Alligator mississippiensis: one gene and its partner. The protein of the gene in region 2 purifies or fractionates together with the protein of the main gene of each other region. This does not show direct contact. Links are inferred from orthologs where the notes say so. Each region holds a gene or a part of one and is shown on either strand. Other genes may lie near its edges.

What was found.
Region 1: the proteins of SLC6A15 (region 2) and GPAT3 purify together in Homo sapiens (co-immunoprecipitation; 3 studies listed by BioGRID and IntAct, counting the BioPlex papers as one, with this or other methods). This does not show direct contact. The link is inferred for Alligator mississippiensis from reciprocal best matches to the Homo sapiens genes SLC6A15 and GPAT3.

Annotation. Positions count from the first base shown.
Region 1 is NC_081825.1:146,939,419-146,943,164, forward strand, and holds the start of GPAT3 (glycerol-3-phosphate acyltransferase 3), read left to right. Parts: upstream 1-1,260; 5' UTR 1,261-1,318; coding exon 1,319-1,462; intron 1,463-3,746. UniProt on the Homo sapiens protein: Converts glycerol-3-phosphate to 1-acyl-sn-glycerol-3-phosphate (lysophosphatidic acid or LPA) by incorporating an acyl moiety at the sn-1 position of the glycerol backbone.
Region 2 is NC_081827.1:81,766,441-81,770,186, forward strand, and holds the start of SLC6A15 (sodium-dependent neutral amino acid transporter B(0)AT2), read right to left. Parts: upstream 2,280-3,746; 5' UTR 2,086-2,279; intron 1-2,085.

The sequences.
Region 1 (3,746 bases), on a different chromosome or scaffold from region 2:
TAACAGATAAACTCTTTTTCATGAACTCTTCTCTTGATTCTGGAGTTTATTATAACGAGGTTGTTCTGCATTTGAAAGTATTATTACATAATATCACGTTTTAAACTATAAAAAGGGGAGGGTTGGCAGCTCCCCTTCAATAGGGGAAGTCAGTTGGGTCTTACCAATTTAAGTATTAAGTGCACCCTACAATTTTTGTCTGATTTTTTTGCAGCTTTTTAATTGATGGTCATGCTCAGTGTTTGAAGTGTGTGTATTTGTCAGACAAGATTCTTTGGGTAGATGTGATATCTTATATCAGACCAACTGAGTAGTTGGAAAAAAGTTTTCTGGAGGATTTCCGGCACAAACGCCCTTCTTCAGGCGTAGGAAGCCTCTGCTGTTCTGAGACTCTGAGGAATGAGAAGCTAAAAGGGTGACAGGATGTCAGTGAGAATGTAAATAGGTGGGAATTAGGAAAACAAAACAGGTAGAGCAGGGAAGTGGGGAGGAGAATGAGGGGGGAAAAAGCCAAAGGTGAGTAAGGGAGACTCTACAGCAGTAGATTGTTAAGGCAGAAAAGAGGCTGTCTGTGAAAAAGGACCTATTTACATTCTCACTGACATCTTGCCACACTTTTAGCACCTCTCATTCCTTGGAGTCTCAGAACAGCAGAGACCTCCTATGCCTGAGGAAGGGTGACTGCACCCGACAGCTTGATTATAACTTTTTTCCAAGTACTCATTTGGTCTAATAAAGATATTGCATCTACTTAAATAATCTTGCCTACCTGGAAATTAGGAAGACAAAGGGCAGAAAAGGATGTGGCCACTCAAAATCTGGATAACCATCAAAACTTTCCTGTGCATTAAGCGCACACTAATGATCACTGTCCAGTGCAAGTAGGTTCTTCCTATTTGGAGCAGGAAACTCAGGGGAGCGCTGCCTCTAACCCCCTCCACACTTAATTACACACACACCGGCCGTAGGCAGGTAGATACACAAACATACACCTACCTCTCTGTCTATAGCACATCTGTACATGTATCGCCCTATAGCACGTGTGTGTGTATGTGTGTGTGTAATCACAAGCTTTGTGAGCTGAAGCTCGCTTCAGCAGACACCGTGACGACTAACTACGACCAAGCCAGGAAGCCGGAACCCGTGATCTGCCGCTGGCGGCCTCAGGCAGGGCTGAGAGGGCCGCACGCAGCTGCGCACAGCTGGGCTGGGCTGGGCGGGCGAAGGGGGCGGGGCAGCGCTCGGCAGCCTCTAGGTCACTCCTCCTCCCCCCGCCGAGTCGAGCCACCGCCCTTGCAAGCGGACGTAGAGCCGGGCCATGGAGGCGTGGGGCGCGGCGGCGACCGTGGCGCTGTCCGTGTGGCTTGCCCTGGTGCTCGGCCTCATCCTGCTGCCGTCGGTCATCGGCGTGTCGCTGGGTATCTCCGAGCTCTACATGACCGTCCTGGTCAAGACCCTGGAGGTGAGTGGGAGGCTCTGCCGCTCTTTCCTGAGTCCTGCGGATGCCTTCGGGAACCCAGCCCAGCCTGCCTCCCCAGTCACCTGGGATTGGAAACACCCCCTGACCCCTCTCCCCAGCTGTTGGAATCTTTCCTCCCCCCCCCCCCCCGCCAGCTGTTCGAACCTGCACCACCCCACTTCAATCCTGTCCCAGCTGTCGAAACTTTCCCCTTCCAGCTGTTCGACCCCTCCTCCCCCCCATCCTCTCTCCCTTCCAGGTGTTCGAACCTTCCCCCCATCTTGCAGGCTCAGAGGATATGTGAACTCAAGGTATACATGGGCACGTGTCTATGTTATGCCTTCGGCCAGAGTAGGTAGATCAGCGGTCATCAACAGTGGATCTCGATCCACCAGTAGATCTTTGGAGCCTCTTGGAGTTGATCCAAGGCTGGGGTGGGGTGCTGAGTGCATGTGTCCCAGCCCAGCAGGTCAGTCCATGTGGGGGGGAGGGAAGGGATGGGGGCTAGATCAAGGCCCCCATGGTGAAGGACAGTGCTGCAGAGGCAGGAGCAGGGGTAAGTTGAATGGGGTCCTGGCCAGGTGGGACTTACCTGCAGGGGAGGCATGACCCCAAATAATTTTTTCTGCCTCAGTCTGCCCCCCCTCTTCCTTGCCTGCAGACTTACCTGCTGGGTGGAGGTGGTGGCAGCTGTGCACAGTAGATCTTGGATTGCTTTTAAATGCCAAAGGTGATCTCCTACTTAAAAAGGTTGGAGACCACTGAGGCAGATAAACATCAGGCTAGCTCCCACATCCCCAAAAGAATACAGTTCTGAAGTGGTATGCTCCCCAGTTTATTTGAGCTGACATAATAGGCTAACACTGCAATCTGTCTAGGCTCAGAGGTGATCCAGTTTTGGTGCTTTGGGGAGCCACTTCTGGCCTAGGGACAGTGATTATATATGAGCTGGTATAAGTGATTGGAAGTTGGTTTAAACCTGTAACACAACAGAAGTTCAGTGCACGTAGACTGGTATCAAAATGACAAACTGGTTTGAGATGGATATGGATGTAGTATCAGAATTAACTGATTTAGGTTACACCAGTTATCAGACTTGTGTCCTAGATCCCCTCCAAACACAAGTTAGAGCTTAGTCCTCTGGCATCCCAGGATACATTGCAGCCCCCCGCTAACCCCCATCCAGCATTCCCTCTAAGCTCTGTGGTATGTGCAGCTATGTAGGCACACTCATGCTGCACTGCCAGGCGCACCTGTTCTGCTGCGCAGCTTAGAGGCCCCCATCTCGCGGTCAGCTAGCCTCCACCCCAGCTTGTCCGCTCCAGGCCAGCCAGTGGCCCCATGCCTTCTGTCATAGAGCTGAGGCAGCCTCCCTAGCCCTGTGGGTCATGGCATGGGGGCAGGTGAGGAGCTAATGGATCCCTGCCCCTGTGCTATCTCATAGCTCAGGAAAAGGCAGGGAGACTTCTTGCTCTCAAAAGGACTTTATTGCAACTGCTAAACCACACAGAAAGATGGCTGACAACTTCCTGTTGATATAATTGTGTCAGCCCTCAGGAAGGGCTTACTACTACATCCCCCTTTCTTAAGAAAAACCTGAAGGATTTTCAAAGAACTGCAAAGTCATCTTGAGTGGAGAGGTTGCAAGCACATTGCTCTTGTGAGTCTTTACCACTCACTTTTCTACAAAAAGAGAATAATCAAATCAGAAACATCAATAACCCTTTTCAAGCAGTTAAGTTCACAAATCTAGTCTATTTGGTGAATCTGACGCACATCCTGACCTAATATGGTAAACAAGTGTAATATGAAGGAGATTCTCTCAATTTTCTTGAAGGAGAAGACCTCTAGGTGTCTCCACCCAATATGAACAAGGGCTGTCCGCCCTAGCCTAGATGGTGCTTTGTACTCCTGCATCTGGAATCCAAACTTTCCTGATATGGGGAAGGAGCAGGGACACTTCTTGAGGCATGCCTGGTGTTATAAAGGACAGTTAAACTGATAATTCCATTTCTGTCTTTCTCATCAAATTCCTGTGTATCCACAAGTTTTGAAACCACCTATCAAAGTTGGGTAGGCTTATATGGAATCAGTGACTCAGAAGCAACTCAGCTGGACTCCATCTATGCTCTAATGGTATTGAAGGGTGTATTAGGAGAACCTTATAGAGATCTTCATTTTTTCTCAAGCAAATTCTTCATAGTCTGCACTGCACATTCTGCTTCCCCATTACTAGGTGGGAAATACAGACTGCTGGTGATATGCTGAAGTCATACTGGGCTGCACA
Region 2 (3,746 bases):
ATGTTACAAATACAGATTGAAATTGCATCAGCAGTTTCATGTCACTTAATTCTACTGGTGGCACATCTGAATAGCTAGGAAATGGCTCATTTCTGCATCCTAACTAATAGGAGGTTTTGTTCAGGAATCTTAAGTAAAAAACTGATCTCAGAGAACGAAGAACTAGGCCCTAACCAGCGTTATCTTAACCACTTCTATGTTACTAATCCAAACTGTGAATAATGGCTAAGAATCAAAATGGAGTAATTTTGACTTGGTTATTCCTATACTTATTAGCTATGTTCTCTTTATGCAAAGCAAGGAAGATCACCAAGGAGGATCACTGTTAAATTATCTGGGAAACAGGTTGTATAAAACATATATTTTGGGGACTATTCATTATGTTTTTTTAAAGGAGAAAGTTAGCTGAAGAATTTGTCTGAGAAAAAGTCACCTAAACGCACACAGCCAGAATGCAGAGGCTGATGAAACACCTGACTCATATGAAATCACTTATTTTTTACTCATTTATGTACTCTTGGATGAGTGGGGTGGGGAGGAGGAACGGAAAGAAATCAGCATCCTTATCTTGTCATACGCAGGGGAGACGTTCACAAAGCCCTACGCTGAGCAGTTAATTTTCTGCTGTGCACCAATACAACTAAAATCACGGTGCCTGACATGCAGCAATCCCCTATCTAAGACTAAAATGGCTGATCCAGACAGCAATTTCTGACCAAAAAAACCAAACAAAACCCATTGATGAAATGCAATTTCTTGCAAGGGGCATTTCCATTCTTCCGCACCCCGCTCCTCGCTTTGTTTGGCTGGGCAACAATGCGCTGGCAGCTCTGCCATGGCCAGGTCCTACATCCCACCCCCCCCAAGACAAAGCCTAGCAGAGAAAACCAAAACCCGCCTGCCTGGCTGTATCACACTTAGCAGCCCACAAAGGAATGCCCTGAAGATGGATGTTGGCATTAAGGAGCATGATCAAGGGAAGTCAAAAAGCAGAACACAAAAAATAAAACGGGAAGCATGAATCTCCCCCTCTGGGCTGTGGTGCAATGCCTGTGGAAGGAAGGGGGTCCTCTTTAAAAAGATGGGGGGGGGGGGGGATAAAAGCCTCGAGGGAAGAAGATGAAGGTTGAGGAGAGGTCCTCATTAACATACCCACCCAAACATGGCTGACATCACAGTGCACCAGCCGGCAGCCCGCCCGGGGCTGCTCCTACCAGACTGGCGGTGGGGCGCGGGGAGAGGGAGGGGGCCAGAGACAGCAGCGAGGAGGGAGCACCTCCCCCTCCCCTGCCTCTCTGTCCCACCTCGGAGCCCGCAGCTCCCTCCCTCGGCCCCGGGGCCAGGCAGCCTGACGCGCGCGCCCGACCTGTCGCGGGAGCGGCGCCCCCTGCCCCCAGCACGGCGAGGGCTTTGCCGGCGGGGAGGGGCCCCGCCTCCTGCAGCGGGCGGACACGTCGCCCCCTCGGCGCCCTCGGGGCACGGCCGGCCCCCGCGGATGCCTCGCGCCTCCCGCACCCCCGGCCGCCGCGAACCAAGATGGCTTAGGCATCCACTCATATCATATACGTATATGCACATGCACGCACAGACACACGCACACACTCACATAGACACGTACAGATACATACGCACCCACGCGCATACACACACACATACACTTAGGCACATGCACACGCTCGTCCACACATACACAGACACACGCGCACACCCTCCCTCACGTATACACAGACACAGGCACACGCAAACCTGTATCTACACACAGAGCGGCACCCATATACATCTGCACATGCACACACTCACATAGACACACGCACGCACATGCAGATACACACCCACGCGCATACACACACACCCACGCGTATACTTACTCACATGTACACGCTCACCCACACAGAGACACACGCACATATCCATCGGCACATGCACACATACGTACACACGCGCACGCGGGGGTAAGAGCCAGGCTCCCCCCCCCCTTCCCCTCCCCCATTCAGCAGCATCCAAGCCCGGAGCACCCCGAGGGCACGGCTGTGCCCCCCCCCCCCCACGGGGCGAAGCCCCCTCGGCCGGAGCCGGGCCCCTCACCTCTCCGGCGGGGCTCGCGCCGGCGTGTGGGGCTTGGCCCGGCGTCCTCGGAGTGAATGAATGAGCGAGCGGGTGTGTGTGTGCGGGTGTGCCCGGGCGAGAGGCGGACAGCGGGAGAGGGATGATGGAGACGCACATGTGCCCGGCCCTCCCTTTGCAGCGCCTGTTTAAAGACTAGCACAAGGCGAGAGGGGCGGGAGGGGGAGGGGAGCAGGGCTGAGCGGAGCCGGGGGAGCCGCACCTCCCTGACGCAGAGACGCTGCAACACCCGCCTGCAGCAGCGGCACCAGAGGCTGAGGGCGCGGCGGGGAGAGGCGGGGGAGGCCGGCAGCGCCGCTGGGGGCTCTCGTGCTCCCCGGGGAAGTCTCTGCTCCGGTCTGCAGCCCCCTGCCCGAGCCAGCCCCACCCTTGCTCCGCGCTGGAGCGGGGATGCTGCAGCGCACCCCGCCCTGCCACATGGTGTCTTTCTCTCGGGTTACTGCCCTGCCCTTGGCCTAGTGCCCACAGTGTGGCTGGGCTGAGAGTGAAGGGGGTGCTAGGTGTGAGGACCGATAGAAAGAGGGGAGACAGCAGAAAAGGCACTTGGAGAGACCCGGACCTTATCCGAGAGGGCAGGGAGGTGATGCTGGGGTGGGTGAGGAGTGGGGCTGGGGAACGAGGAAAGAGATGGGGGGGGGCATAGAAGTAGTGGAAATGGTAGGGGAGTAGATTTGGAGAAGCAGTAAAGTGCCTGGAGGTGAAATTATCCTGAGGCAAATAAACCTGGAAACAAGCAGAATTCCAGGAGTGACAAAGCACCGACTCCAGCCGCCATGCCGCGCACCCGGGTGTGTGAAAGCTTGCAGCCCTCCATGCCCCTTCATCATTAGATACCTAACTAAACACCATAAAGCAGGGCGTCTCAACCCCTGCTCCATGAGATCCTTTTAAGGGTGATGCAGGGTACCGTGCAATATTAGCACTGTTAGGTGTACAGACACCAACGCAGGATTCACAAGAGAAACCCCAAGGTTTCAATTAGCATTCAGAACATGCTGCCCTGTTGTGGTCTTTCTGAGTTCTTTGGGACAGAAGAATTGCTTGATTATTTTTCTGTAGCCAAGGAACGAGCAAAAGCTAAGAGCCGGCATTTTTTTTTTGAGGGGTGCTCAAGTCTAAAACGATTGAGAAGGATTGTCATAAACGATTGTCATAAAGGCAATATACCTGAAAATAAAGCCCTAGACTGCAAAGAGCTGCTTAACACAACTCAACTCCCCTCAAAATATCCCCACAATCAAAGAAAGAGGACTTTTCCCAAGACACACCCCATCCAGGACAAATGACTTCACCCCCCCCCCCCCCCACCTCCCGAACAATCTGTTCCCAATAAGGGAGTGTTATTCCTCTCTCCAAAACTTTCCTATACATGCCCCAACTGGAACCGGAAAGTGAGTCCCTCCCCCAGAATCTCCCTCTGTACATCCAGCCTGCGGAAGAGAAAATTGCTGACCGTGCCCTGAGAACATTATATACAAACACCTAGAAGACAAGGAGCTGCCACCTTCCAAAGCATCTTCCTCCACATCAGAATAGGGCTCTGCCCCCTAACTAGTCACAGTTCCCAAGAAGTGGCCTGCCCCCATGATCTGTGTCTCCTAAATATACATGCAACCCAGGAA